Linked DNA regions of Diceros bicornis minor. Each later gene encodes a partner of the first gene's protein in a complex. Links are inferred from orthologs where the notes say so. Each region holds a gene or a part of one and is shown in the gene's direction. Other genes may lie near its edges. The genes, in order: MCM2, DNAJC9, GINS2 and GINS4.

Region 1 (7,261 bases):
GATGGCAGTGCTCAGCCGTGAGAAGCAAAGTGGGTACAATCGTCATGCAACCATCGAGGTCAAAGGAGCAGCCAGGAAGGTGGAATAGGTCACTGGATGGACATAGTCAGTAGGCGGCAGAATGCCAACACTGGTTCCTTTGTCTGGGCGATGAGAGTTTTCACAGAGGTGAAAGTCAAGTAAAAGCCCCTGAAATGTCCTCTCCCCCCACCTGCCTCAGCCAAGATAGTAAATAAAAAACAATATCACATACCAGGGAAAACAGCAGAGATCAGGGCCTCCCTCGAAGACCTAAAGCATATGGGGAGGTAGACCCCACCGTATCCCTATTTAATTCATCAGTCTGGCCTTTAAAACATACAGAGAATAGGAGTAGGTTGCTGCAAACCCAACCAAGTAGTAGCCCAATGGCAGCTGCTGTGCTGCTGTCACTGCTAGCACAGATCAACGTGGCTCAGGTAGCAGTGGGCCGCCTGCGATGACTGTCCCTATCAGGATGCCACCCCTATCATTCACAGGGAGGGACAGCAGTTTACATTTATGGTCTTGCCCCAGGCCTACGGTCACTCTCTCACCCTCTGTCACAGTATACATAGTCTGAAGGGCCCTGGCCATCTGAACGTTCTGCAGAACAGTGCATCGGTTTATTATATTGATGACATCCTGCTAACCTTGCCGGACGTACAAGAAGGAACAAGCAAATGAAGACCTTGATGAGACATACATGCTCCAAAGGGTGGAAGATGAACTCTATGAAGATTTGGGGGCTTGGCACATCGGTGAAGTTTGTAGGGGTCTAGTGGTCTGGGGCATAGCAGGACATCCTCTCCAAAGTAAAGGACAAATGACTGCATCTTGCACACCCCATCACAAGAAAGGAAGCACAACGCCAGAATCCACTCTTTGGGTTCTAGAGGCAGCATATTCCACACCTGGAAATGCTGCTCTGACCCATACATCTCTGGGTGACATAAAAGGCTTCCAGCTTTGAGTGAGGCTCACAGCAGGAAAGGCTGTCCCAGAGGCCACAGGCCCCTCAAACCCTATGATATGAGAAGCCCTCTAATGGTGGGAGGAAAAGATGCTGTGTAAAAGTCAGGGCAAGCCCTCCTGGGAAAACCACAATGTCGCTCCCCAGGGTTCTAGAGCGAGGCCAGGCCTTCTACAGCAAACTACACACAAATCCAAAGAACAACTCCACCAGGCTACTGGACCCTGGCAGAGATGACTAGGGAGCATCAAGTGACCAGGAGGCCAGAGCTGCCCCTCATGAACTGGGTTCTATCAGGCCCACTTGTAAATTCATGTGGGCCCAGCAGCCAGCCATAGCATGACGGTAAGCGATCCATGGCAGATCCACGTCATCTACCACTGTCACACTAGTGCCTCTCCCTCATTCACACCTATGGCTGACTGGCAGGTCCCTCAGACAGCTGACAAAGGAGGGGGAGGCTGAGCTTGCTCAGAGATGAGCTGGCTCATTCTGTGGGTCAGAGGCAAGGCCTGGAGGGGAAGCAGCCGTGTGGAGACCTCAGGGATGAAAGCCACAGGCTGCGGATGGTGGAAGCAGAAGTTGGGAAGCAGACTTATCCTTGATGATGTTCAGTGCTGGATGCCTACTGATGTGAGAAAAATCCCCAGGGTGATGTGCACCCAGAGTGGGTCCAACACGGCTATTGGCTGGGGTCCTGGCTTCCTCACTCCGTGGGCCTGTCACAGGGCTGGTTGTGTGTCCTCAGGACATGGCAGCTGGCTTCCCTCAGAGTGAGTGATCTGGTGAATCACCTAATCACTTAATCTGAAGTGATATCTAATCACTTCTGTCGGATGCTATTGGTCACACAGACCAACTCTGGTACAATGGGAAGGAGATTATAAAAAGGTGTGAATACCAGAGGGCAGGGATCATTGGGGGCCATAAGAGAGGCTGCACCCCACCCTCTTCCACCTTACCATTTCTCCTAGCCTCCCTCCCATTCGCATTTAAACATGCCCAGGTATGTCATCTCAAAAACAGTCCTTCCCCAGCCCTGCATCCCTCCCCAGTCACTGCCCCACCTCCCACAGCTCAGCTTCTCCACAGATTTGTCCACAGTCACCTTCTCACTCCCTGCACCCTACTCCTCAACACACTCCAACGTGGTGTCCGACACCAATCCCGCACAGCCAGAGACACCAATGGCCCCTAGTCCTTACCAAACTTGACTTCTTGGCAGCTTGTCACCTGCTGACCCCATCTACCCTGGTGGGCAGCCTCTGAGATGGCCCCCAATGAACCCCCGCCCTTGATGTGGGCTAGCCCTAGCGACTTGCTTCTAACAAACAGAAGATGGTAAAAGTGAGGGGATGTCACTTCTGGCCCATGGCTTCCGGCTTGTATGGCCTCTCTCACCCTCATTCACTTCCTCTGAGCAAAGCCAGCTGCCATGTTGTGAGCTGCGCTATGGCGAGGCCCACATAACAAGGAACTGAGGAGACCCCCACCCAAGAGCCAGTGTGAAACGGTCCTTGTCCAGCAGCCTGGGGGGAACTGAATCCCACCCCATGAGGGAGCTTGGAAGCAGGTCCTCCTTGAGCTGAGCCTTCAAATGGGCCTGCAGCCCGGGCCAGCACCTTGAGTGCAGCACTGTGCGAGACAGTGAGGCAGAGGCGCCCACCTGAACCAGGCCTGGATCCTGGACCCACAGACATGGAGAGAATACATGGTAACTGTTTGAAACTGCTAGATTGCAGGATAATTTGCTAGGCGACAATGGATAATTAATACAACCCCACCCACAATCTCTGCTCTGGCTTCTCCCTCAGCAGCTCCCAGCATCCCAGCTCCTGCCCAGCATCCTTTGTTGGTGCTGCTTAACTGTTGGGGTTTTCCGGGTCCTAGGCCTAGGCCTTCTCTTCTCACTGAACTCGCTCTCTGGATTAGCCAGCCACTCCCCAGTGGCGGCTGCAGCCCAAGCTTCCTCTCGAGCCCCAGACCTGAACATCCAGGATATCTCTGGCCTCTTGGACATCTCTACTCAGGGGCCACATTCAACACAGCCAGAAACAAACTCACCCTCTTTCCCCCCAAACTTTCTTGTCTTCCTCTTGCCTTCCTCATCTGAGAGGTAGTGCCATCGTCTGCCTAGACTCCTGAACCAGAATCCTGCTGTTCTCCTGGTTGCCTCCCTTTTAATGTCCTCCATCCCCAAGGCCAATAGACTATATCTCCTAAATATCTCTCGGATATTTCCAGTCCTCAACATCACTCCTCCCCCTATCCCAGGGTCTATCCAGAGATGCCTGTTCATCGCACAAAAGCACCAGGCGAAGAGGGCGGAGATCCAGCCCTGCCCTGCTCACCGAGCAACCCACCCTAGCCCAAGCTGCCTGTAACTAGGAAGACCCGCAGCAATCCGCCTCCACCTCCACCGGGGGCAGCCTGAGGAATTCTCCTAAAGCCCACACTGGCTCTCCTCTCACCCTGCTTAAAACCTTTCTGCACCTCTCCACTGCCCTCAGGATAAAGCTAAAACTCCCCAGAAAGACTTGGAGATCTGAAGCGACCTGGGCTCTCTGATCTCAAGCCTTGCCCCTTCCTGAGCATCACACGCTCTTTAACCAGAACTCCAGACGACGTTCTTTCTATCTGGCATCCTCCCTGCATCTCTGCTCCCCTCGGTGAAGACAATTTAGTAGAACACCACATGTGGCCTCCTACAATCTCAGAGCGTTTTGGTGCTCCAAGCGTCCAGCCTGAGAGCTTTTAGGGAAGTGGAAAGGGGCTGTCCGCTCATGACACAGTAAGACGACCTCAAAAAACAAGACTCTCAGCCTCCGTTGCCTCGTCTGAAAAACAACCATACCGTGACCAAGGTCACGCAAACAGCAGGTGGGACTGGTCCTCGCTGCCCCAACCCGCAGCTTCCACTCCCACACCTTTCCTGGTCAGGGCAGCGCAGAGCACAGGCCGCCCGCCGTCCAGCACGTGGGGGTGCGCCTCGGGCAGCGTGGGCGAGACCGCGGGGTGGCGTGGGCGGAGCCCCCTCCGGCCCGCCCTCTGCGCGCCGGCTTGACGCAAAGGGACACCGACGTCATGACGCCGTATTCCGTCAGACTCTTCCCGGGCTCGGCCGGGTCACGTGGGCCAATTTTCGCGCGAAAACTGGTAGTTGCTGGAGAAGCAGAGAGGTTCGGGGCGCTGCGATGGCGGTGAGCGCGCCGGTGGTCCCTGCGGGCCTGCGTGTCTGCCATGCGGGGGGCGCGGGTGGGGCGTGGGCGTGGGGGCCGGCGGGTGGTCCCTGCGACGCTGCACGTCTGCGCCGGCCGGGGGCGCGGGTGGTCCCCGCGGCCTGCGCCTCTGCGCGGTCTGGGGCGCGGGCAGGCGGTGCAGAGCGCGCGCCGGAAACAAAGGTGCGGGGGCTGCGAGCTTTTGGTTCTCTCGCCCTCGCGCCGCCCCGGATCGGTGCTCCGGACGAGGTCGGGTCCCTGGGCTCCATATGGAGCTGATTTCTCTCCTTTACTCCCCTCGTGCGGGGCCTGCAAAACCAGCGGGCCCCGCACCGCTTCGGTCTGCCTGGTGATGCCTCCTCCCCCGCGCCAACCTGGGAGCGCTGGACTCCCTAGGCCGAGCCCAGCCCGCCCGGCCATTATCGTTGATTCACTCCGCACATGCTTGTTGGGCGCTCTCTGTATGCCCGGCGCTGTGTGTATACAAGACAGACAAGTCCTGCGTCTTCATGCACTTACTGTAACATTTTTTGTCCCTTTGTCTTGTTTACTATCTGTCCGCTCCACCATTCTGTAAGTTCCAGACCTCTTATGTTTTGGTCGCTTTTGTAGCCCGTGTCCAGTCACAGTGCCTGGCACACTGGGGGTGCTCAAATGGGTGAGAATGCATGCTTATAGGGGAGGAATAGACGATATACAGGTAAACAGACAAATGATGTACCCTCAGTGATTTCTCATGGAGAAAACAGGGTAATATGAGTGACAGCATTTGAGGAAGTGTTATTTGGGCTGGTCCCCCTGTGCGGAGAAGCCATTGGCTCAGAGAGCTCAGAGGAGAGCCTGCCAGGCAGAGGGAACAGCAAGCGCAAGTCTTGAGGCTGGAACGGGTTTGGAGCGTTGGCGGACAGGGTGGCTGTGGAGAGGGAGGCCTTACGGGTGGGGAGGGCCACAGTACAGAAAGCTACCTCAGCCCTCACCTCCTCCATCTCCTGTTGCAGGAATCATCTGAGTCCTTCACCATGGCGTCCAGCCCAGCTGGGCGTCGGCGAAGCAATGATCCTCTCACCTCCAGCCCTGGGCGAAGCTCCCGGCGCACTGATGCCCTGACCTCCAGTCCTGGCCGGGACCTTCCTCCCTTTGAGGATGAGTCGGAGGGGCTACTAGGCACAGACGGGCCCCTGGAGGAAGAGGAAGAGGATGGAGAGGAGCTTATTGGAGATGGCATGGAGAGGTATTTTCACTCAAGGCCCTGCACTCAGCTGATAGTTTTGCAGGGAGCCCGCTGTGTGTCTGGCGACCTTGTTTTGGGTGCTGAGGAAGCAGATGGATCAGAGCTTCCTTGCGCTTGAGCGAGTCTTGGTCCAAGGTCTGGGGGGAGACAGCTTCATGGAGCTGCGACGGATGTGTCTAACTTACACTAAACCCTGAGGCCTGGGTAAGCCCTAACTCCATGAGAAGGGCACCCCAGGGGATGCGTGCAAGGGGTCCCTAATCTGGGGGAGAGGGGCGCGCGTCAGGGACACCAGCCGGGAAGGACAAGAAGCAGACAGCCAAGTGTTTTTCTGTAACTGCAAAGAAACAGTTGGGGGAGGGGTGATTAATCAAGATTTAGATTCAGTCCAGCAAACATTTGTTGTGCCTCATCCGTACCAGGCCCTGTGTTAGATAGTTTCATACAAATGCATATTAACACATATCGACACTTAATGCTAAGATAGTGGAGTCAGCTCTGCAAGTGAGCAGGGTTACCTCTCTGCTGCGGCCTTTCCGTGTGTTTACAACCAGGATGTGGCAGCTACATTCGTAGTGGAATTGTGGGAATGCCCAGGAGCCTCATGGAGAGTCTCCTTTTGGGCCTTTCTGTCCTCTGACTTGGGGTTCCAGACTTGGTGTGCATGAGAGGACTTACAGGCCATCCCACAGTCCAGGGCCATCCGAGGGACTTTCAGGGGCACTCTGGACCATTTGGATCTTTGCCTTAAGCACCACCACCCCAAGTGATGAGACTGGGTGTGCAGTGCATGCCAGACTGTGGAAGGAATGAGGAGTTTTTGGAAGAACCAGCCCTGGACGCAGGGTCCCTGTTGTGCGTTGTGGAGTTGTTCAGGCAGGGTGCCCCTCCCCTGCCAGCTGCCCTCTGTTTCCACTCCCCTTTGCTTCTCCCTCCAGAGAAGGACAGGCTCTTTGCAGGGGCCTCTGGGTAGAGGTATCTGGGGGCGAGCTGGGCCCAATTGGATTTTGTTTCTGTGGCTTTTTTAAGAACAACTTTATTAAGCTGTAATTTCTATATTATAAAACTCAGTCCTTGTAAGAATACAGTTCAGTGCTTTTTAGTAAATTTCCTGAGTTGTGCAGCCATCACCACAATCCAGTTTTAGACATTTTTATCATCCCAGTAAGATTTCTTGTGCTTGTTTACAGTTAATGCCCATTCCTGTCCCAGCCCCTAGGCAACCAATAATCTACTGTCATTTTAGATTTGCGATTCTGGCCATTTCATACAAATGGAGTCGATACTATGTGGCCTTTTGCAACAGGCTTCTTTTACTTAGTGTGGTTTTCAAGGTCCATCCGTGTTGTAGCTTTTATCAGTACTTCAGTCAATCCTTTTTGTGGCTGAATAATATTCCATTGTATGGACACGCCATTTTTATCTATTCATAAGTTGGTGGACATTTGTTTCTTTGCACTTTTTGGCTCTTATGAATAATGTTGCTATGAAGTTTTTCTGTGGACGTTATGTTTTCAATTCTCATGGACATGTACCTAGCAGTGGAATTGCTGGATCATATGGTAATTCTCTTTAATCTTTTGAGGAACTGCCAGGGTGTTTTCCAAATCAGCTGCACCATTTTACATTCCTACAAGTGGTGTATGAGGGTTCCAATTTCTCCACATACTTGCCAACACTTGTTTTCTAGTTTCTGATAACAGTTATCCTAACGAGTATGAGGTGGTGTCTCACTGGGGTTTTGATTTGCATTTCTCTAGTGATTAATGATGTGGAGCATCTTTTCATATACTTATTGGCCATTTGTATATCTTCTCTGGA
Region 2 (8,229 bases), on another chromosome or scaffold:
AAATGTGGCTTTTTAGCTGGTTACATTGCTACCTTGAAAAGAAATGAAGATTTTGTTATTAAGAAAGGACAGAGTGAGTATGCAGAAGGCAACTAGATACCTCTACTACACATCTAGATTCTAAAATTAAGTTCAGATCTATTGTCTTTGATTCTTCTCTGTCTCTTGCCAAATGGGAATATTATACATTGGTCAAGATATGTTGGGTGATAATGTGAACTCCTTTAAAAATAAACTTTATTAAAGTTATTTTACAAAACAATGCACAAATTGTGAGTGTTCATACCACTTGATGAATTTTCACAAAGTGAGCATGTCCATGTAACCAGCACAATGTTCTGAGGTCTTTTAATGGAGTTACCATGAAATAGGGGATATAGGAAGAACCAATTCCATCCCAAATAATTATGGTCTTGAGCTGTGGCCTTGCAAATGAGGGGTCTCCACACAGGTATATCAGATATGACACCTGTTCTTCCCTTCTTTCCTCTTATGCAGCTGAAATTGAAAGACGAGGCTCTGCTTGCCGAGATCCACAAGGTACAGGAGACAGTTGGCTTTGGAAACCCATCTTTCTGATATCCTTCCAGCTGAAGAATTTTCTGTATAGGACTCTGAGCTCCTTTCCTTCCCAGAGAAATTAAACCCTGGAAGTTTCACCATATGAGGCCTGGAGATGGAGAACAAAAGAATCTTCACCATAAACAGAAACCCATTCACTTATTCCCATTGGCTGTCTTACTGGATGGCTACATTACTGGATGTTTTACTGGTTAACAGTAAACTGAATGACAATAAAAAATGGAAATAAGAAATTCAAAATTCATCAGTATGGTTCTGGAGTTAAGGTATACTGAGGTATATATAGGAATATAAGGTATAGTGGGTTCATTATTAGGGTTTCTGATGAAAGCTTATCAGGATCACTCCTGGAGGAAGTCAACTACTAAGGTCCTTGGCCAGGTTCACTTAGTGGAACTTGGGAATTAAGGCATCATTTTCTAAGGTGGGCCTAAAGGAAGACTGCTATGCTGGGTCACTATGTTACTGCACAAAATTGGGGTTCTCTGCCTGATGCACATAAACAAGCCAATTAATTATGGCATCAGCCTTCAGGGGAGAAATCAGCTTTTATTCTGTGAGTTCGATCTGCAGGGAGACAAGGGGCATGTGCCCTGAGATCTGTCTTCCTGATTCAGGATTTGGGGCAAAATTTAAGAGGTTAGGGAGAATAGGCTGGCACGTGGAAATGCTAGTGGCACAGGCTTTGATTGGTGGGCTTCAAGCATTTATGGTAAGCTTTTATTTTATTTTATTTTATTTTACTTATTTTTTTGTGAGGAAGATCAGCCCTGAGCTAACATCCATGCTAATTCTCCTCTTTTTGCTGAGGAAGACCAGCTCTGGGCTAACATCTATTGCCAATCCTCTTCCTTTTTTTTTCCCCCCAAGGCCCCAGTAGATAGTTGTATGTCATAGTTGCACATCCTTCTAGTTGCTGTATGTGGGAGTATGTGGGACGCAGCCTCAGCATGGCCGGAGAAGCAGTGCGTCAGTGCGCGCCTGGGATCCGAACTCTGGGCCGCCTGTAGCGGAGCGCGCGCACTTAACCGCTAAGCCATGGGGCCGGCCCCTATGGTAAGGTTTTAAACATTTATGACAAGGTTCTCAACATTTATGATGGGGTTCTAAACATTTTTGATGAGGTGGGGAAGGAATTTTAACACTGGATCTTCCTGAATGAGGGACCCCTTGCTTCTGATAAGAGTCTAGCTTTCAAGTTCTGGTCACAGCACCGTCCTTGGGTTCCATGGGGAGGAGGATCTTAGTTCTGAGGTCATTTCAGGTCATGATTTCTTCTTTTACACAGGCTCTGGCTACATGACTTTGCAATTTTTATGAAAGACAAGTCAATCTGTTGGTAAGAGATGGGGTCAGCTGAACTGGTCCTAGAGGGCCTGCGGTTACAACTACATTAGGGCAAAGAGCATATGAGTTGTGCCCAGGCCCTTTGGATCCAACAGAGAAGCTCAACAGAGAGGTCTCTGCTGACTGTGGAGGTGCTGACTCCCTCTGACCACAGGCATCTTCATGGATCTAAACCACAAGGGCTCCATTTAGAGTCCATTACCCTGTAATAGATGCAAAATTCCTCACAACTGAGGCCATCATTCTAGGGCTAGAGATGACAAATCACACTTCACCCCTGTCCTCCTGGATCACTGCACAGCAGAAATCAGGAATAAAGTCTCCCCTTCCTTTATTTTTTAAAAGAGGAGGTGGAGATACTAGGAGGGAAGGCAGAAGGCATATTAGTAAACACAGAAGGATAATAAAACTCTACATTTATAGTCCTTCTGTAGCCTCGGCCCTAAGGCTACCTCCTTTATGAAGTCTTCCTGAGGCACCAAGGAAGTATCAGGTTCACCTTCTCCTCTGCTCCCCCAGGACTGTGTACTGACCACCCCTAGTTATGCTGGTGTAACCTCACCGTCTCCCCATCAGATTGAGCTTCCTAGGAGAAGGGACAGCGCCTTTTCATTTTTGCGTTCTCAGCACCGTGCTTTGGCCCTAACAGGTGCTCAAAAAACGTCTGCAGCAAGGATGGATTTATGGAGCACTTTATCACTTTTAGCAGTACTCCTCGCTCCCCCAGGCGCTCACAGGCTACGGAGGGCCGGCAACGCCCACCGGCCTCAGCTCGCACTGCCACCCCCGGGGCACGCAAATGGAGCGCGCCTGTCCCCGGCAGTTTAAGGTTCGGTCGGGTTCACCGCGCTGCGTTCAGGGAAGTGCAGGGGCGGAGAGCGGAAGAGGCGGGGCCGGCGCGCTGTCCGCGTGCGACGGCGAGGCGCTTGGCGGTCGGTCGCGGAGGGGTGAGGCCCGCGGTCGCGCAGCGTCGGCCGTCCGCCGCCCCGCCCCAGGCCGTGGAGCTGCTGCGTGCGGGCGGCGGGAGCTCCGAGACGCCGCGCCTGGCGCACAGGGCCCGGGGCACGCCGGCTGCGCCATGGTCCAGCTCAGTGAGTGATCGGGCCGAGAGACCTCCCTGCGGTGCGGGGTGGGGGCGTGCGGGACCTGGTGGGGCAGCGCTCTTCCCAGGTGAGCGGGAGGCAGCCCGAACCTGCAACAGCCTTACATGTGATCCTCCTCTCAGTTTTTTTCTCACCGAAACCCTATGAGCTAGATGGCATTCATTTTATAGATGACGCAGCTGAGGCTCCGACATGGTCACAGAGCCAGTAAAGGGCAGGCCTTTGCTGAGGGGATTAGGGGATGAGGAGGAAGTCGTTTCTGGCTGGAGTGCATGGATAGTATCTACGCCGGATTGACAAGAATTAGTTGGAAGTAAGGACATTTCAGTGGAGGGAGATTGTTTCATCTACCTCGTTTTGTGCCCTCAGTTCTTTTGTCTTAACTACTTATTTCTCTATAGCTACTCTCCTCTGCAGAGCCTACCACGGAGGCCACTTAACCATTCGCCTTGCCCTGGGCGGCTGTACCAACCGGCCTTTCTACCGCATCGTGGCTGCTCACAACAAGTGTCCCAGGGATGGCCGTTTTGTGGAGCAGCTGGGCTCCTATGATCCACTGCCCAACAGTCATGGAGAGAAACTCGTTGCTCTCAACCTGGAACGGATCCGGCATTGGATCGGCTGTGGAGCCCACCTCTCTAAGCCTGTGGAAAAGCTTCTGGGTAACTCAACTCTAGCCTTACCTCATTGAAGAGATTTTAAATTGAAGTCAGTTCCAGGATGATGAGAATAAAGAATGATTTTCATCATCTCTAGGCTGCTCAGGACTGGAGTGAAAGCTGAAGTTGTGATCTAATTGCCACTTTGAATCTGACTCCTTTATGGACTTTTTGGGTGACTTGTATTTTATGGTAAAAATGAGAATAGTGTGTCTTGAATGGCCATTTGTCAGTTTGTCTTTTATTCAAGTAAGGAGAATAGTGTTAGGAAGTAGACAACATCCATTGTCTCCTTAAAGTAAATGGAGAGGAGGGAGCTGGGGAGAAGTAAGACAGGTTGCAGGGTGAGGAGCATGTTTTAAATCCATGCTCTAGGTCAGGTCTCTGTGAGACCTCAGTTCTGTGAGGCTGAATTCCCAGGGAAACATTGGCTTGTACTGTATTGTAATGAATGAAAATCCTGTTGCTTTTAGGTCTTTCAGGCTTTTTCCCTCTGCATCCCATGATGATCACAAATGCTGAGAGACTGCGACGGAAACGAGCACGAGAAGTCCTCTTAGCCACTCAGAAAACAGATACAGAGGCTATAGAAACAAAAGCAATCTGACTTCAGTGAGCAGTGGGAACAAAGTCAAAGTCCTCTTAAAACACCTGTGCAGAGCTCTTAATTTTATCAGATTTAGAGGTCAATAAATGGAGTTTTTTAAGTCACCTATGCTCTTCTGGCCTGTCCTGAGCAGGGCCTAGGGAGGGATTTGTTCCTGTCTGATGTAGAGCTTGGTCTAGGTACTGATGAGCTTTTTCAGCCTCCTCTGGGGAAAGACAGTAGCTGTGGGTTGGGTTGGACATTTGGGTTGGGCCTTAGGCCTCTCGGACAACTTATAGTCTGCTGCCTTCCAAGACTTCCGTGTTTCAAAGCCGCCAACCAGCATGTCTATAGCCTAGCCACGTAATTCCTTTCTTAATCCTTTATGGTCATCCTACCAGCTCAAGAACACAGTTACTTCACTTATTTTTGTAATTGCAGATTTATATTGTCTTGCTTGATACATAATCTTAAATTGACAAAGGTAGATTTGTTATGGGTGTAATAGCCTACTTGTTAAGAATGAAAACCTGGAAGAAAGCTAATATTGTAAAGTAAACTACATACATTCTAAGCCCTTTACAAACAAGGTTATTTGTGAGGATTATAAGGGATCATGAAATTAGGTAGGATTATTTCCATTTTACAGATGGGGAAGCTCAGGTTCAGAGGTGGAAGCTTGCCCAAGACCACATAGTTCTAATATTGGGCAGAGCTAAGATTCAGACTCCAGTGTGCCTACCTGGAGGACTGGAGAGCCCTTTCTAACATATATTGGTGGGGGGCAGTGGGGAGCAGGGTGCATAAGCAAAGATGAGGGGCTTTTCAAAAGTCCACTTAAAAAGTCAGTGATAGAATCAGGTTTAGGTATCATGAGTTTGGTAATACAAATGACTGGCTGTGCCAAAAAACACAGAATATCACATTTTCTGCTCTACCAGAAGCACAGGATTCTACAACCACAAGCATGGATTAGGTGGTTTTAGTGCACACTCTGGATAATACAGATTATTTCAAATTCTGGTGTAAGTCTAGGATATAGGGAATTTATAGAGATTTTAAAACCCTATCAATGTACCAACTTAATTCTCTGGGTTTTATATTCTGAGAACAATTACCAGCCACCTCAAATTTGGGGTCATCAAAGCTTCCCCCAGGGTTGTTACTGGTTGGCTTCCACTTGCTTTGCAGAGACTTTGAAGGCAGGTCAGGCAGAAAGGAACTGACTTTCCTCAGTTTAATCTTGGATCTAGGGAAGAAAAATGCTTTGAAAACCATAGGAATTCTGGAAATTTAAAAGATATTAATCTACCCTGGAGAGTTTGAGATCTTTGGAGAAGCTTAATTGGTAGAACAGAGGAGAATGTGATTCTGAAAAGTATTGACCAGTGAGGGGAACTGAGGTGAAATGGATTAAGGTAAGGTATTATTTTGAGCTACTGATTTTCTGCCAACTTAAGTGTTCACTTTGTGCCCTGGTCTTTCCTTTGCCTAAGCTGTGTATAGACGTACTTCTGTGAGCTGATCCTCTCCCTGATTTCCAGAGTTTTATCTAGCTCTTGCTTTGGATCTCACCACGGCCCAGATTCTCAGCATGTCTTGGATAATTGCATCAGCCTATCTTGCTACCACATCAAATCCAACATGCTCAAACTCAGCTCTGCAGTTTAGAAAGCATTTTTTTTCTTTTTAAAAAAAGAGCCTTTGCTTCAGCAGCTTATATTTTTATTAGGGTGAAGGTGTGGGTCATGTTATCTCCACCAAAGTGGAAGGTGATTCAGGAGCTGGAAGGTGAATGGGAATGATCCTGTAATAAATGTCAAATTTATAAATCCTATAAGGAGTTTTTAAAAGACCAGTATTTTATGTTTTTTGTTTAATGTAGGCGTTTTTCTTGCAGGGCTGTAGGGAAGTACCCACCTAGCAATTCCAACCTGTAGGCAAAATTATTTGGGCTTTAGTGCTCTATGTACTCCTGTCAGGATCATCTTTGAAAAAAGAACAAATCTATTTAACCGTTAGGTTGAACCATGTAAAATTGCCAAATGCCGATGTTATGCCGTTTTTTACTTAAAAACAAAACAGCAATGTATAGGTTCAACCTAATATGGACGTTCCATTTACTACTGAATAAGCTTCTGCGCTGGGACATTGGGGAGAAGATAGGCGCCGGATGTCCAGAGTGAGTGGAGGAGAGGGCGTGGTAGCAGCTGGGATACACCCACTTCCTGCGCAGAAACGTTCCCGCGCTGGGAGAGACCGGGACGCCGGCTCCGCTCCACCGCAATCCAGGCCGACGCCAGTCTGGCCACGCCCCGTTTGCAGCCGCCGTAAAGCTCGGCGTCCTGGCCACGCCTCTTCCCGCGCCTCTTGTGACGCAGGCGTCCTGAGCGTTTTGCGCGGGAAAAGGAAGCAGGCCGGAGCTCTAGCCGGTGCCGCTGGAACGGGCTGTTTTGCCGGAGAGCTCCGCTTGCGCCTTACCGTTGCCGGCCATGGGGCTGCTGGAGCTGTGCGAGGAAGTGTTCGGCACCGCCGACCTTTACCGGGTGTTGGGCGTGCGACGCGAGGCCTCAGACAGCGAGGTCCGACGCGGCTACCGCAAGGTGTCCCTGCAGGTGCACCCGGACCGGGTGGGCGAGGGCGACAAGGAGGACGCCACCCGTCGCTTCCAGGTAAGCGAGTCCCCGCTCTACCGGCCGCCCGGCCCCGCCAGGTTGGAGTGCGCTGAACCCAGCCTGGAGTTTTCTAATCTTTATTTCTCGCGGCGCGGTTTTAGTGAGAGGTGCGGGAGTGACACTTGCATGCTCTTTTTTCGCAGATCCTCGGGAGAGTATATTCCGTTCTAAGTGACAAAGAGCAGAAAGCAGTGTACGATGAGCAGGGAACAGTGGACGAGGATTCTGATGTGCTCAACCAAGATCGGGACTGGGAGACGTATTGGAGGTTACTCTTTAAAAAGGTAGGGGACTCTGGAGATTTCTTTGTGACCGTTCCCATCATTCATTCAACAAACGACTTTTGAATGCCTCTAAGGCCTTGCATTTTGTATCGTCTAGGAGTGAGGAATTTGGCCTGGAAATATAAATACACACACACAGGCATTCCTCAGGAGATACACATATATGTCTGGAGAACAGACCTATTTAACCCATTAGGTTGAACTAGGTGTATATATACATACAGGCACGCACACACACTTAGTGAAATGAGTTTTTAATTTCCTGTTGAGTTGATTGTAGTGAAAGCGGGGGATTTAATTTTTTACAAGATGCTTTATTTTACATATCCAAATGTAAGTCCTGAGTATTTTTCTGAGTCTTTTCTCACCTTTGGAAACTTCACTTAAATTTTCTGGTCCCAGTTTTGCAGTTGGGAAGATTGGACCACAGAGAACTCTGGAAAAGCTTTGGCAGAGAAAATTTGGTTCCTTGCAAGAATTTCAACTGAAGCAAGTCTAATATTTTGGGAGAAACATTTCAACATCTAAATCTAGTTTTATTAGTATACCTTTTATTTAAAATAAAATTCTCAAAGTTAAAGCGTATGTGCCTTATTTGTTCAGATATCTCTAGAAGACATTCAAGCTTTTGAAAAGACATACAAAGGTTCTGAAGAAGAGCTGGCTGATATTAAACAGGCCTATCTGGACTTCAAGGGCGACATGGATCAGATTATGGAGTCTGTGCTGTGTGTGCAGTACACAGAGGAACCCAGAATAAGGAACATAATTCAGCAAGCCATTGATGCTGGAGAGGTCCCATCCTTTAACGCCTTTGTCAAAGAATCAAAGCGAAAGATGAATGCAAGGAAAAGGAGGGTAAGATTTTGAATGCTATTTATTATTTATATCTTGATTGCTTACAAAAAGAATTGAGGATACTTACAATAATGGAAATATATACAAGACTGCTGAAGTAAGGATAAGGGTTAACTTATTTAGTTCTTATCTAGT
Region 3 (7,238 bases), on another chromosome or scaffold:
TCCACCGGCTTGTTTCAGCTGAGGCTAGGGAAGGAAGAGTTACTGGAGGACGTGTTTTCCACTCGGCATTTGTCTTTTGCTGCCGTGACTGTAATTCTAGTCCCTCCTTAGCTGGGTCACACCACCAGCAGTTTGTCACCGCTCCACCTAAGTCATCCCCGAGACCACAGGAGGCTGGGCTCAGTTTATCAGAGCAGAGGCTCTTGGCCTCGGCAGAGGCCCAGGCCTGCCCCAGAGGTTCTGGTGTGGCCCTTCCATCCCTTCCATCCAGGTGTGGCCCAGGAGGTGATTCTCACGTGCAGGCAGAGCTAAGAGCCTGTGGAGCTTCTCGCCCACCTCCTCAGTTCTTCACTGTCATTCATTGTTTTTCTAGGCTGATGGTCTCCGCACTCTAAGAGAATTGCTCCCGGTGGCAGGGATTCAGACCTCAAGGTAGACTAATCAAGGATGGAAGGAACCCACTCTGTGTAGATGGACCCCAGGTCCTTCCCAGACATGCTCAACCCAAGGATTACCTGTGGGGATGCATCGTTAGGCCACTGGCCCAATGTCACTCACAGGAGTGAAAGACCCTTCAGAGGACCCCGGTCCCCATCCAGTCACTCATATTGTAAGTGCTTAATCTCCATATGGGGCTCGCAGCCACCCTACTGGACAGCTCAGCTACAGGAGATTTCCATCATTGCAGAAAGATCCACTGCTTTCAGATCAGACGTCCAAGTTGCTGACTCATTTTTGGAGCACTGTTCTGCGGCTTAAATTCTGTGACCAGAAGGTGTTGTAGTGCGGACCACCCTGAAGGGGGCAGTGGGTTCACGCTTCTGAGTGTTTTGAATCCTAGAGAGGCTTTTTCTTAAACTTTTTTTGGTAAGAATAGCTTTAGCTTTACAGAAAAGTTGCAAAGATAGTACAGAGGGTTCCCATATACCCCACACTCCGTTTCCCCTGTTGTTAATCTTCCTTTACTCTGGTCCATTTGTCACAACAAATGACCCAATTTTGATACATTGTTACTAATTAAAGTCCACATACTTTATTCACATTTCCTCGGTTTTTCCTTAATGCCTTTTTTCTGTTCCAGGCTCCCATCCCAATTTAGCTGACATGCCTCCTTAGGCTCCTCTGGGGATGACAGTTTTTTAACACCGTCTTTGGTGACCTTGGCAATTTTGAGGAGCGCTGGTCAGGTGTTTTGTAGACTGTCCTCTGTTAGGATTTGTCTGACATTTTTCTCCTGATGAGACTGGGGTTGTGGGTTTGGGGAGGAAGATCCCAGAGAGGAAGCGCCTACTCATCTGTCGTATCCAGGGTAGGTGCCCTCACCATGGCCTTCACTGCTAACGTTGACCTTGATCTCCTGGCTGAGTTCGTGGAGGTCAGATGTCTCCATGGTCGAAGGACTCTGTTTTTCCTGTTTCCATCCTGCCGTTTTTGGAAGGAAGTGGCTACAGAGCCCACCCTTCAGGAGTGGGGAGCATCTATCTGTCCACATCATGTGGGATTCTTCTGCATGGAGATTTGTCCCTTCGCCCCCTTTTATTTTGTCTCCAGCCCTTAATTCATTACCACATGGGTCACTCGAGACAGCTTGGGGAGGCGTTTTCAACAACAGGAAATAACGGTGTGAGGGCCCTGCCCACCCCATCTAAAGTAGCACCCCCACCTCCGTCATTCCCTGACTCCCTCCCCCCTCAGCTTTCCTCTTGTCTGTTTACTGTCTCCTTCCCCCACTTTGAGAGGCCAGCATGAGGCTGGGCATTCACAAGTCCTCTCTGGACCCTGGGAGTGGCTCAGAGCTGGACCGGATTGGGGCAAATCACTTCGCTTCCCAGTTTTCCCAATTAATACAACTTCCTAGGGGACGTGTTAAGTGTGTGGTTTCCACGAGTCAGAAAGTCTGAGCCTGGAGCCTAGGAAGGGGCATTTTAAATAACAGTTTTATTGAGGAATAATACACATATTATAAAATTCACTCTTTTAAAGTGTACAATTCAGTGTTTTTTTAGTATATTTATAGAGTTGTGCAACTACCACCACTATCTAATTCTAGAACATTTTTATCACCCCAAAAGAAACCCCATACCCATTAACAGTCACTCCCCACTCTCTGCTCCCCCAGCTCCTGGCAACCACTAAGCTAGTGTCTGTCTCTATGGATTTTTTATCTATTCTGGACAGTGCATGTAAATGGAGTCATATGGTTTGTGTGGCTGGCTTCTTTCATGTAGCATAAGGTTTTCAAGGTTCATCCACGTTGTAGCATGAATCGGCTTCATTCATGTTCACCGCTGAATAACATTCCATAGTATGACCACATTCTGTTTATCCATTCCTCCGCTGATGGACATGTGGGGCATTTCCACCTTGGGCTGTTGTGAATAGTGCTGCTGGGAAGGGAAAGACAAGCCCCCAAGTGACCCAGATGTACACTCAAGTTTGAGACTCCAAGATGCCACCATTTGCAGCGTGTAAAGCTGCACACTTGTTCTCTAGCAGCCCAGTGAGGTAAGCAGCAGCACTGTCCCCATGTTATAGATAAGGACACCGAGACTTGGGTGATGTGGACGCGGGACTCTGCTAGCCCTCCTACTCATCCCGCCACGGTCTCTCTGAACCTCAGCTTTCCCATCAGCTCTTTTCCTTTGCTCTTTTACCGCTGCGAAAATCCGGGAGGGAAGCCTTGCCAACTTTGGAATACAAATATTTGCCAGTCAAGAAAACATTCCACCATCAATCAAAACCCAGACAAGCTGGCACACACTCTCTGCAGATGCCCAAGGGAGCTTCTATTTCAGGAGGGGCCAGGTGGCCTGAGGCCTCCCCTCCTCCCCAAACACCCTGGAGCTCCTTCTTTTCCTACCTCACTTTGCAGATAAGGAGGCTGAGGTTCAGAGTGGTCACTTGCCCTCGGTCACACAGCATCCAGAGGGGCCTTTTACGTATTTTCTTTGAAAGTATTTGTCTTAATAAATGACACACAATGAAGGTAATCTCCAAGTCTGTAAATGACAATTTCCCAATGCAGATAAATAACAGACAGCTTTCCAGGCCGTGTGAGTGAGCAGAACTTAATTATGGCCTTATTTCATCTTCCCAACAACCTTACATGGGGCAGGTTTCAGGAGGGGTAAAGAGGAAAGCATGGGGTTATCTAGGGTGGGACAGCTCTCCTGTAGGGATACAGAACCCTGGAATCCCCATCACCTATGCTTTTTCTCAGGGCCTAATGATCCGGGTTTCAAATTCAAGTCCAGCCCACTGTTGTGGGCCTACACTGTTCCCATCAGTGCTACACTGGCTGCTTCACTCCCCAGGGAGCTTTCCTGGCCTACTTCCACCCATCAAAATCACCCTGGTCCTGTGAAAATTCAGCTTTCTGTCCGCACCCCAGACTCCTGAACCACAGTTCTCCAGGAGTGTGCGTGTTAACACTCAGAATCTTCTACGGATTCTGACCCGGGAGAGAAACACTGCCGTTACGTTTCACACGAGCCCACTGTACAGAGGGTCCCGTTCAATGAGCAGAGGAGCACATCAATACACATCCGCTCCAGTCGTGCAAACTTGTCTCCTCATGAGTCTCCCCCGGGGTGCTGCCAAAGCATGAATGCTGAGTTCTTCCCGCAGTTTCTGAATCAGAAGATGTGAGTGGGATGAACGAATCTGCATTTTTGTAGATTTCAAGCAATGTGTATAGAGAGGACGGAAGACTGTGAAAATAAGGGAAACAACGCCTTCCCTCACTCCGCTGGGCAGGGCCGTGTCTGTCTAGCCAAGTCACGCCGTGCCCCAATAAATGCATTTACTCCTGGCGGGCTGCGGGCCCCACTGTAGACGCACTCCGAGCTCCACCCCCAGCTGGACTCAGGGTGTTGGCGGGTAGGCGCCCGGGGCAGGTGAAGAGACATGGTGCCAGAGCAGGAGGCCCACGGCAGTCAGGTGCCCGGCCCACGCGACGGGCCGGGTCGGGACCCGGGAGGGGCGGGGCCGGGACGCGGGAGGGGCGGGGCCGGGGTACGAGAGGGGGTGAAGCCCGGGGGGGCGGGGTCTGCCCGCAGCCTCGCTCAAGCTCGCCAATCCGCGGGCTCGTAGCAGCCTCGGGCCCCGCCTCCTTCCGCCGCGCCGCGTTGCTATAGGCCCGCCGAGGCTTCTTCCGGCCGGGGGGCGGGTCCCGCGCGGTGGCGGGGAAAGCGGCGGCCGCGGCGCTTCCTCCCGGACGCTGAGGGTCGGAGGCGGCGGCCAGGCCCGGGCCGGCCGCTAGCGCTGCCATGGACGCGGCCGAGGTGGAGTTTCTGGCCGAGAAGGAGCTGGTTACCATTATCCCAAACTTCAGTCTGGACAAGATCTACCTCATCGGGGTGAGGGCGCGGACCGGGGCGGGCATTTGCCTCAGGACCCGGCGCCTGGGAGAGGCCGGGCCGCCGGGGGCCGGGGATGTGCGGACGCCGCCCCGCCTGCATCCCGCCCTCCTCTGCGCCGCCTCTCGGAGGGGCAGCCGGGCGGCGGGCTCGGTCGGCGCGGGCCTGCGCGGGCGGGGCGGCGGCTCCGGGGAGACCGGGCGCAGGGGGGCTCAGGCGGGCGGGCGCAGGCGGGCGCAGGTGCGCCGGGGCCGCCTTCCCGCGGGAGTGCGCGCCCTGGGCTCCGGCCTGTCCGCAGGGAGGTCGGTCGTGCCTCTGCCGCGCGGTCTTAGCGGTCCGTCTTCCTTCCGCAGGGGGACCTGGGCCCCTTTAACCCCGGCCTACCGGTGGACGTGCCCCTGTGGCTGGCCGTTAACCTGAAGCAACGCCAGAAGTGCCGGCTGGTTCCTCCCGCGTGGATGGACGTGGGTGAGGATGGGCGCGGGTGACTCCGTCCCGCCGCGCGGAGGCGCGGGTGGCCTGCGGCGAATTCACGGCCCCCGGCTCACGCCTTAGTCTGCTGACCGCTGCTGCTGCTGCGCCGTTAGTTTGGGGGTGTTGACCAATCTTCGTCCAGATTTTGGTTTTAGGATATTTCAGCTGGCTCTAAAATTAAGAATGTTCTATGACCGGGCCGGCCCGCGGCTTAGCGGTTAAGCGCGCGCTCCGCTGCTGGCGGCCGGGTTCGGATCCCGGCGCGCACTGACGCACCGCTTCTCCGGCCATGCTGAGGCCGCGTCCCACACACAGCAACTAGAAGGATGTGCAGCAGTGACATACAGCTATCTACTGGGGCTTTGGGGGGAAAATAAAATAAATAAAATCTTTAAAAAAAAGAAAGAAGCATTCGTTCTAATTTACGGGAAATGGGCACAGTCTGGCGTGTGGAGGAGAAGAGTCGCTGTCCGCGTGAAGACAGCGCGGCCCCGTGTGAGGGGCGGCCCTCGCCGTAGGCGGAGTGAAGCGCTGGGCGTGCTGCGGCGCCTGGGGAGCACACGCCGTGGGCAAGGAGGCCGCCAGGACGGCACGTCGGGTGTGCCGGTCCGTTCACGTGGCGGTTCCGGGCGGCAGACGGTGGTTGTCTGGGGCTGGGGTTTGCGGCTTGAAGGATTGTGGGGTTTCTTTTTGGGGTGATGGAAACGTTCTCAAGTTGATTGAAGTGATGGACGCACAACTCTGTGAATGTACTAAAAACCGCTTTGTTTTTTCTGTGGAGAAGATCAGCCCTGAGCTAACATCTGCCCATCCTCTTTTTTGCTGAGGAAGACTGGCCCTGGGGGCTAACATCCGTGCCATCTTCCTCCACTTTGTATGGGACGCTGCCACAGCATGGCTTGACAAGCGGTGCGTCCTCGGGGCCCTGGATCCGAACTGGGCTGCCAGCAGCAGAGCCTGCGCACTTAACCGCTACTCCAGGGGGCCGCCCCGAGTTGTACACTTTAAATGGGTGAATTGTCTGGTATGTTAAATATGCCCAAATAAAGCCGTTAAAAGAAAATAGTGCATCAAAGGTTCAGGTAGACTTTATCCTGAGCCTTTGCAGTCTTTCCCACCTCAGAGATATGAGTGGCTCATTATAGAGAAGAATCTTAATTTTATTTGGGGTAGGGGACATGTAGAATTTGAAAAGGCTGTGAGTTATGTTGATTGTTCCCTCCCTGGGGACACCTGGGAGTATTTCCCTCCTAGAAGCAAGGACACCTTCAGCGGCACTCGCAAATGTTTAAGAAAGACTGGGTATTTTCTCCTCACTCCCCGTCCTAAAGGGGTGAGTGTCTCTGGTGGTCCTGAAACATCATGGGAAACTAATTCCTTCTGCTTTGAAGGGCTTTTTTAGCAGGGAGCCCCACCACCCCTGCCTCCATTAGCACGGCATCCTCTTCGGGCAGTTTTGGCCCCTCCAAAGCCAAGGTGATGGGGGCGAGAGCCCACCTCACTGCAGGCCAGAGCCAGAGAGCAGGCGTGGAGCAAGTCAGCCTGAGCTTCCTGGGCCTGGGCCACAGTGTGGTGAGAGGTTGTGATACATCACTAGGCAGTAAGCCCTGCCTGAGAGCCGACTGCCCTCGGCTTCTGCCACTATGCTTAGTTTTGCCTGTTCTTGGACATCATACAAATGGAATCAAGTATGTCAATTTTTGGCTCTGACTTCTCTTATTCAATATAATGTTTTTGAGATTCGCCCCCATTGTCGCATTTGTCATTACATCTTTCTTCTGTTGCTGAGTAGTGTTTCATCCATTGTATGAGTTTTCCACAGTTTGGCCGCCCATTCTTCTGTTGGTGCATATTTGGGTTGTTTCCCATTTTTGGCTATTGTGAATAAGGCTACTATGAACATTCTTGGGCAAGTCTTTTTGTGGATGTGTGTTTTTATTTCTCTTGGGTAAATACATACCTAGAGTGGTGGAATTACTGGGTCATAGGACACACTGTGCTTAACTTGTAAGAGGCTGCCAACTGGCCCTGCAGAGTGGGTGAGCCATTATTAGAAGCCCACCAGAAATGTACGCGAGTTCCCATTGTTCCACACCCTGGCGGACGTTCCTTGTTGTCAGTCTTTGATTCGTTGCAGGGTTTGAACAGAGGTGTTTTATACTCTGATTTAGATGTTAAAAAAGAAAAGAATTGGTCTGTTGTGTAGAGAAGATGTGTGTGGGGAGAGGGCAGTGGGGAGTTACCCAGGCAAGGGCTAAGAGTGGTTGACCAGGTGCTGGAGGTGGGCAGATGTGGTTGGAGTCTAGGGGTATCTTGAAGAAAGAAGCAGCAGGATTTGCTGAAGGACAGGCCATGGGATCTGAAAGAGAAGAGTTAGGATGACCTCCAGGGTTGTTGGCTTGAGCT
Region 4 (7,078 bases), on another chromosome or scaffold:
TGTCGCTGCACAGAAAAATTATTTCAAAAAACTTTAGTCTGAAGTGGAATGACCTATTACATTAGTTATGTGAAGTTCTCAAAATGGTGCCATGTCTGTGATCCATTAACACAAAGAGAAGTAAGACATTAAAATGAAAAGAAATGCGTGATATTTTGATACAGGGTACACTCAAACAAGGCTCCCCTTTAGCCTTTTCCTATGACTATAGTCAAGCCTTTTCCTATGGCGTCATATTTAAAAACAAAAAAGAGCATTGGCCTAAGCTGAGAGCATTTAGAAATGCTGAGTTTGGCCTGGTTTTCATTTAGACCTAAAGACAATTCCCTAGGGTAAATTACATGAACCCTAATAAACATGAAGACCTGCCCGGCACTTAGACATAGCAGCTTTTCATCAGATGTTCATGACATAAAGGCACATGAATTTCTTGATGGAAAGGTCACATTTCTCTTTGCTTGACTCTTACCGAAAAAAATCATTTTACCTGCTAAATGCTATATTGGCCATAGTTTTTCAGAAGGTAAATTTTGTTTAAAAAAACAAAAAGGAAAATTCATGGTGGTTGTATATTCTGCAATAAATAAATGACAGTACAGTTTCTGTATCTCCTCACAGTGTTTCACATCCATCTCTCTTGGAACTTATTCCTTCTTCCTGCAGACTATGCTCACATGTCACCTCCTCAAGGAGGCTGCTATAGGCTCAAGATTCGTGTCCCCACAATATTCATATATTTAAATCCTAACCCCCAAGGTGCTGGTATTAGGAGGTGGGGTCTTGGAGGTGATTAAGTCTTGAGGGCAGACTCATGAATGAGATTAGTGCCCTTATAAAAGTTGCCCAGAATGCTCCCTTGCTCCTTCCACCATGTGAGGATACAGTGAAAAGACAGCCATGTAGGAGGTGGGCCCTCACCAGACACTGACTCTGTCAGTGCTGAGATCTTGGACATCCTAGCCTCTGGAATTGTGAGAAATAAATTTCTGTTCTTGATAAGCCACCTAATCTCTGGCATTTTGTTATAGTAGCCCAAGCGTGCTAAGACAGATGCCTCCCCAACCGTCTAAGACAGAGGCCTCCCCGCCCTCAATGTTCTCTATCTGTTACCCAACTTTATTTCATCACCACCTGACAAATAATTATTGTTTGTTTATTGTCTGTCTCCATCACAAGGTCTATGTTTCCTATTCCCTGCTTTATCTTTAGCACCTACACAGGGCCTGGCAGGAGATTCTCAAATATAACTAGATGCTCAAGAAATATTTGTGGAAAGAAGAATTAATGCATGAATAAATGAGGGGCACTGTGCTAGATGTGGGGGGTGCCTTCAGGGAATTCACAATCTAATAGAAGAAACAGACATGTTCATACTGCAATGTAGCATGATAAATGTTGTAACAGAATAGTAACATACATGGTGACCTAAAGAAGGGGTGGATGTGTTAGGGATGGTTTCACAGAAGAAGAGATACTTTGGCTGAGTCTTGAAGGATGCATAGGAGTTCATCAGGTGGTGAAATGGAAAGAGAGAAGCCTGGAAAGAGGCAACAGCATGTGCAAAGAAAGGAGACAAAAAATCCCTCCTGTCCAACTTTTGACATAACTGGAGCAAAGGGTGTAAGGGAGGAAGCTGTAAACTTCAAGAAAATCAGCAGCACTGTTTTCAGCCAGAGTGACTGAAATTGTCCTACTTCTCTCAAGGGAATTTACCCACCCTCCAACAGCCTGCTTCAGCACAGCTGTCTAAGCCTGTGGGCAGTGAGGTGTAGCCCACAGGTGTTCTGTCTGCCATCCTCAGAGGAAAATTTCAAGGGTGTAAAATGGCCACAGTGGGATGAGAGAACATCATCTTACTCTGTGCTTGAGGAGGCCACAGCCTTTGGCAGGTGTCGATGCCTCCGTCAATGTCACTGTGAACCCTTATTGACAAAGTCAAGGCGAATGGAGGAGATGGCATCTACAGGGTCTGTGCCCAGGCTTGGGAAGCCTTTGTTAGAGCTCAAACTTGAAGCCAAATGTTCTACTTCCTGGATCAGCTTTCTTTTCAGAAGATGTGAGTACCCCTCCACAGCAAACTGACACTTTTTTGTTATAAGGCTGAGAATAGTTATTCTTAAGAATATTCTTAAGTTATGAGAAAAAAGCATCCTCCTATTAACCAAGAGAAAACAAAATACAGAGGCAGAGGTAGGGTTTATGTGTCTGTGCCAGAAACTAGGATTACATTTAGACAAACTTTGAAAAGTTTATACCTTTATTGGGGACATATATGGTTTAATTTAATGTGTTTGAATTCAAGATGAGATTTGAGTAAGGGATAGGAGCTAAAAGTCTGAGGCGAAAGGGAATTAGGAACATCACAAATTGCTCCAATCTTACATTTGTCACGGAGATCCATGCCTGGCCTGGCCTCCTGAGATTTCCAGCATCTCAGCCATGCAAGCAGGTATGGGGTTTTACCGCTGGCCAGAAAAATACTTGCAAATTCACCAGTTAACAGCTTTCCTTGAGAGGCTAAAAGGAAACATGAATTTTTCTGCCTTCCTTAAAAATGCAAGTTTCCTTCTACTTTCCTGTCCTTAGTCCAAATCTTCATTCGTTCAGATCAACTGGAGGTTAAACTTTGCTTAACTAATACCCTCTCCAAAACTTAGTGCTTTGCTTCTTAGGATAGTGAGACCAGGAATGTAATGGAATTCGGAGGAAGGAAACAGTGACAAACAGCTGGACCAAATGAGCAAGGGCAGTGACGAAGGCAGAACAGTAATGATGGTATTACCTTTTCAAAAGCATCTTTCTCCAAAAAGCATCTCACAATACTGTATAGATACATAAATTTTGTCTTTTTTCCTTGGTGATTGAAAAAAAATAGATTCATTCTTATTAATGTATATTTCTATAGCTATCCACAAACATTTTGGCTGTTTCTATTTGCTGTGTCTATAACAGCAGTGAATTTCTTCATTGAGCACCATCTGGAAATTGCATTGACTGTTCACTTTCTTTCATTGTATAGGGTCCTATTTTCTGTATCCTCTCCAACTTGGGGCAGTAGCTTTTTCCTTCTTTTGCCATGTTTGTAGCTCGACGTTTTACTTGTCTGAATTCATGTCAGCACGAATATATACATATATGCTTTTACATATATATGCTTTTGTCTTACATTAAAGGTAGAAGGCATAAGCAGTAGATATCAAAATATCCTAGAGAGTCAAGCAGCTGAGATGGAAGCATTGCCTAAAGCAGTGGTTCTCCAACCTCCCCTGCATCAGACTCACGGAGTCTGTTAAACCACCCCTAGAGTTTCTGATTCAGCAGGGCTGGCCGGGGCCTGAGAATCTGCATTCTCACGGGTTCCCAGACGACCTTGCTGCTGGTGGTCTGGTACCGCGCTTTAAGAACCACCAGCCCAGCTGTTTTTAGAACTGGAAGTAGTGGCCATAGCTGAAGCCCTGGCAAAGAAGGAACCAGAAGGGCCACAGAGCGGTGGGTGGAGAGCACGACCCAAGAGACGGTATTGGCCTGATTTTAACAGAGCCCATATCTCTGTCGTCCAACCCCCCACCCGCTCCCACCCCACCAGCCAGGACATACTCTGGCGATTGCACCCCGGTGGCCGGGAGGCCGACACCGCCGAGCGTCCTCAGCCGCGGTGGCGAGGCGCCCCCTCCCGACGGTCCCTGGGCGGCGCCAGCCGGGACCCCACTGCGGCGCGGCGGGCCAAGGCGGGCGAGGCTCACCCGAGCCAGCCTGCCGCCGCCTCCCTTCAAGAGGGCGCTGCAGAGCGAGCCGCAGAGGCCAAGCCCCGCCCCCGGGTGGACGGAGCCTCTGGGCCGTGATTGGCCAGCGCCGCCCGTGCGCGGTGACGTCATGCCTGGGCGGAGAGTTTCTGAGGGGAGCGCGGGAGCTGCAGAGGAGGTTTGGGTACGTCCGGGAAAGGCCTCCAACGGCGTGTTTGGCGGCCGGGTGCTCCTTGGGAGAGCCCGGCGCTTCCCCACGCGCTTCCGGTGCTAGCCGCGTGCTACCTCGGAGTGTCTCTCTGCCTCCTGGGTGAGCATCCGCGTGGGACCTCTGGTGGGTGGGTGTGTGTGTGTCGGGGAGAGTGGGGAGGGGGCCGCTGTGCTCGCGGCGCCGAGCGAGGAGAGGAGCGGGAGGGTACGCTCTCAGTTTCTGAGGCTCCGGGGACTGCCCTTGGCCCCACCACCCGCCTTCCTGAGCCGTTGGGGTCACTGGCCGGCCTGATGTCGCTGGGCCTTGCGGCCCTAGGGAACGAGGCGTTGGTTAGCTCTCCCAGCAGTTGTAAATGCCTGCTGTGAGTTAAGCACGGTGCTAAGCGCAGGGACTACGCAGGTAACTATGGCCCCAGTACTTAGAAGTGCCAGGCACAGAGCGGATGGTGGTTCATACTTGAGCTGAAGAGCACACAGCCCCTGAGGAAAGGACCGCTGCTGGGAAGGCAGACAGGTGGTTATCACGTGGTGTGATGTACCAGTGTACCGTTCGTGGTGCACGTGGAAACGCTTCTAAGGGGTGACCTCTTTGAGAAACTAATACTTGACCTCAGGTTTGGAGGAAGAGGCAAAGAATTATAAAATCAAAGTCTGTGAATTCTCTAGCTACTGCCAGTGAGCCTCTACAACCCCAGTTGTAGATACATAGTTGCCTGTTCTTGCAAATAAATGGAAAACACGTTGCAGGGTATTAGTTCTTTTATTCTCATTAGGTTCCTGGTTTCAGAGAAGATGGCAGAGGAACTGGATCTCACGGGACAGGACTCTGATGGGGGTAGTGAGGAGGTGGTCCTGACTCCTGCAGAGCTCATTGAAAGGCTGGAGCAGGTAAGCACCTCAAATAGAGTCCCCTTGCTCCAATCTTAGCCCTTTTATTTAGCCCAACTATGCAAATGTCGGGAATCAGAAAACGAGGAAATGGAATTCAAGGCTTATTTCAAGAGAAGAGGGACTAGATTTTACCATCTACACAGAAATAGGAAGTAGTGGGGACAGGCTTTGTTAGAAACTTCATAATGTCAAATACAAAATCTTCAAGTGGGGCCAATAAGGGACAGCTTTGGGCACATTGAATAAAACAGTTCATAGAAAAGGATCTACTTGGTATTTGTGGGGACTGCAGAGGTTTTGTGGTGGAGACTTGTAAGTTCTAAACCTTAGTCCCTGAAACATCTGCTGTTTCCCTGTAGAATGCTTGGGTTAGCAAGAAAGTGCTGGAACACCTTTAGGAAAAAACTGCTCTTATTTTTCCTTTTCCTCCCATATACTTGCTTTTGTCAGCTGTTCTCTTTTTCCACTGGCTATCTAAAATCATTTCTGGGATATTTCTCCTTTTAGTCATGATAGCCATGGTTTATTGAGCATTTCCGGTGTCCCAGTAACTGTGTTAAGTTACTTACAGTCACTATCTCGTGGAGCTCTGGAAGATAGGAGTTCAGACTATCTGTGTTTAGATCCCTCCATGCCACTAGTCTATTATGTGACCTTAGGCAAGTTATATAGCTTGTCTCAAGCACTTCTTTGACTGTAAAATGGAGTTAATAATAGTGGCTACCTCACAGAGTTGCTGGGAGGATTAAATGAGGTAATATATGTAAAGTGCTTGGCAGATTGCCTGACACGTGATAAGCACTCACTGAATGTTGGCTGTGAGCAGTAATAATCCTTACAACAACCCAGTGAGGCAGGGGTTATTGTTATCTCCATTTTACAGATGAGGAACCTGAAGCTTAGAGATGTCAGGTAATTTGCCCAAGGTCACACAGTGGCAGCAGATCAGGATACGACCCAAGTCTCTTTGACGCCAAAACGTGTGCTCTTAATCCACTACACCTGCTGCCTTGTTCTCATCTTCTCCCTTTAACTGCCCCTTTCCAGAACTCGCTCGTTTGTTACTTTAGTATTCTTCATTTTTTCCTACCAAACATGCCATCATGAGTGACAAAACTGAAGGAAGATAATTTTAAAATTATACCTTATATGATAATCCTGACCATATAGCAGTTACTCTTAATTTGTTTTAATATCACAGACCTTTTTGAGACTCTAGTGAAAAGTCTGGCCCTTCTTCCCAGAATAGTATATATATACACCCATGCAGAATGCTGCATATCATTTCAGGAGGTTCTCAGACACCTGAAATCTGCCCACCTAGTCTGTGGAGCCCAGTTGAAGAGCCCCTGCTTTATTAGGAAAGGGTTCACTAAACAAAAATCACAAAGCATAAAGGAAAAAACTGATACATTCAACTACATTAAAATTAAGAACTTCTGTTTTTACACCTTGGTAAGAGTAAAAAGACATGCTGCAAAACTGGGAGAAAACATTTCAAAATATGTAACTGACAAAAGGTTAGTATCCACAATACATAAACAAACTTCAAAAACTGCCCCAACGAAGAATGAAATCTTAACAGGCATCTCCCAGAAGCAGAAACCAGAATGGCCAATAATCATATGAAAAAGATGTTCAACCTTTCTAGTAATCAGGAAAATGAAGATTTAAATCTCTATGAGATATTGCTTCATATTCATCAGATTGGTAGAAATGAAAAAGTGAACAATATAGAGCATTGGCAAGGATATAGAGCAATTTGCACATTTGTATACTGCCCTGGGCATGTAAATTGGTCACTCTGGAAAAGAATTTGTTATTGTCTAGTCAAGTTAAAGGCACACATATCTTGTGGCCCAGTCATTCTACTCCCAGCTACATGCCCTAGAGAAAACTTACACGTGTACTCCAGGAGACATGCACAAAGTTTTCATAGCATTGCTTGTGATAGTTAAAAACTGAAATAACCCAGATATCCATCAAGAATAGAATGGATGAAAAATTGTGGCGTAGACACACAATGGGAAAAAAGATGGTAATAAAATGAGTAAAAGCTCCTGCAGCAGCATGAAGAACTCTCAGGAACACCATGTAGAACAACAGGAAATAAGTTGCTGAAGAAACATAAATATATGTCAAGTTCAGACGCTTGCAGAACTGTTGTTCAAGGCAGAGCTTGCCAGCTCGACTGATGCAGCACACACTGGTGTGCTGCAGATGCCTCGTGATGT

Evidence for each region.
Region 2: the proteins of MCM2 (region 1) and DNAJC9 are in contact, whole or in part, in a crystal structure (PDB 7CJ0), measured with the Homo sapiens proteins. The link is inferred for Diceros bicornis minor from reciprocal best matches to the Homo sapiens genes MCM2 and DNAJC9. Residues at the interface, in NP_004517.2 of Homo sapiens: Glu65, Glu66, Glu67, Asp68, Glu104; in NP_056005.1 of Homo sapiens: Lys185, Arg189, Arg192, Lys244.
Region 3: MCM2 (region 1) and GINS2 share a complex: the UniProt entries of both Homo sapiens proteins name them as parts of the CMG helicase complex. The link is inferred for Diceros bicornis minor from reciprocal best matches to the Homo sapiens genes MCM2 and GINS2.
Region 4: MCM2 (region 1) and GINS4 share a complex: the UniProt entries of both Homo sapiens proteins name them as parts of the CMG helicase complex. The link is inferred for Diceros bicornis minor from reciprocal best matches to the Homo sapiens genes MCM2 and GINS4.

What each region holds. Positions count from the first base shown.
Region 1 is NC_080741.1:92,291,168-92,298,428, forward strand, and holds the start of MCM2 (DNA replication licensing factor MCM2), read left to right. Parts: upstream 1-4,098; 5' UTR 4,099-4,185; coding exon 4,186-4,191; intron 4,192-5,207; coding exon 5,208-5,440; intron 5,441-7,261. UniProt on the Homo sapiens protein: Acts as a component of the MCM2-7 complex (MCM complex) which is the replicative helicase essential for 'once per cell cycle' DNA replication initiation and elongation in eukaryotic cells.
Region 2 is NC_080745.1:33,277,159-33,285,387, forward strand, and holds the start of DNAJC9 (dnaJ homolog subfamily C member 9), read left to right. Parts: upstream 1-5,102; 5' UTR 5,103-6,769; coding exon 6,770-6,949; intron 6,950-7,095; coding exon 7,096-7,236; intron 7,237-7,839; coding exon 7,840-8,094; intron 8,095-8,229. Other genes in the region: CFAP70 (cilia- and flagella-associated protein 70), read left to right, coding at 499-579; MRPS16 (small ribosomal subunit protein bS16m), read left to right, coding at 2,729-3,020, 3,434-3,694, 4,165-4,298.
Region 3 is NC_080771.1:34,513,974-34,521,211, reverse strand, and holds the start of GINS2 (DNA replication complex GINS protein PSF2), read left to right. Parts: upstream 1-4,216; 5' UTR 4,217-4,268; coding exon 4,269-4,358; intron 4,359-4,711; coding exon 4,712-4,826; intron 4,827-7,238. UniProt on the Homo sapiens protein: Required for correct functioning of the GINS complex, a complex that plays an essential role in the initiation of DNA replication, and progression of DNA replication forks.
Region 4 is NC_080768.1:38,708,953-38,716,030, forward strand, and holds the start of GINS4 (DNA replication complex GINS protein SLD5), read left to right. Parts: upstream 1-3,930; 5' UTR 3,931-4,053; intron 4,054-4,726; 5' UTR 4,727-4,745; coding exon 4,746-4,841; intron 4,842-7,078. UniProt on the Homo sapiens protein: Required for correct functioning of the GINS complex, a complex that plays an essential role in the initiation of DNA replication, and progression of DNA replication forks.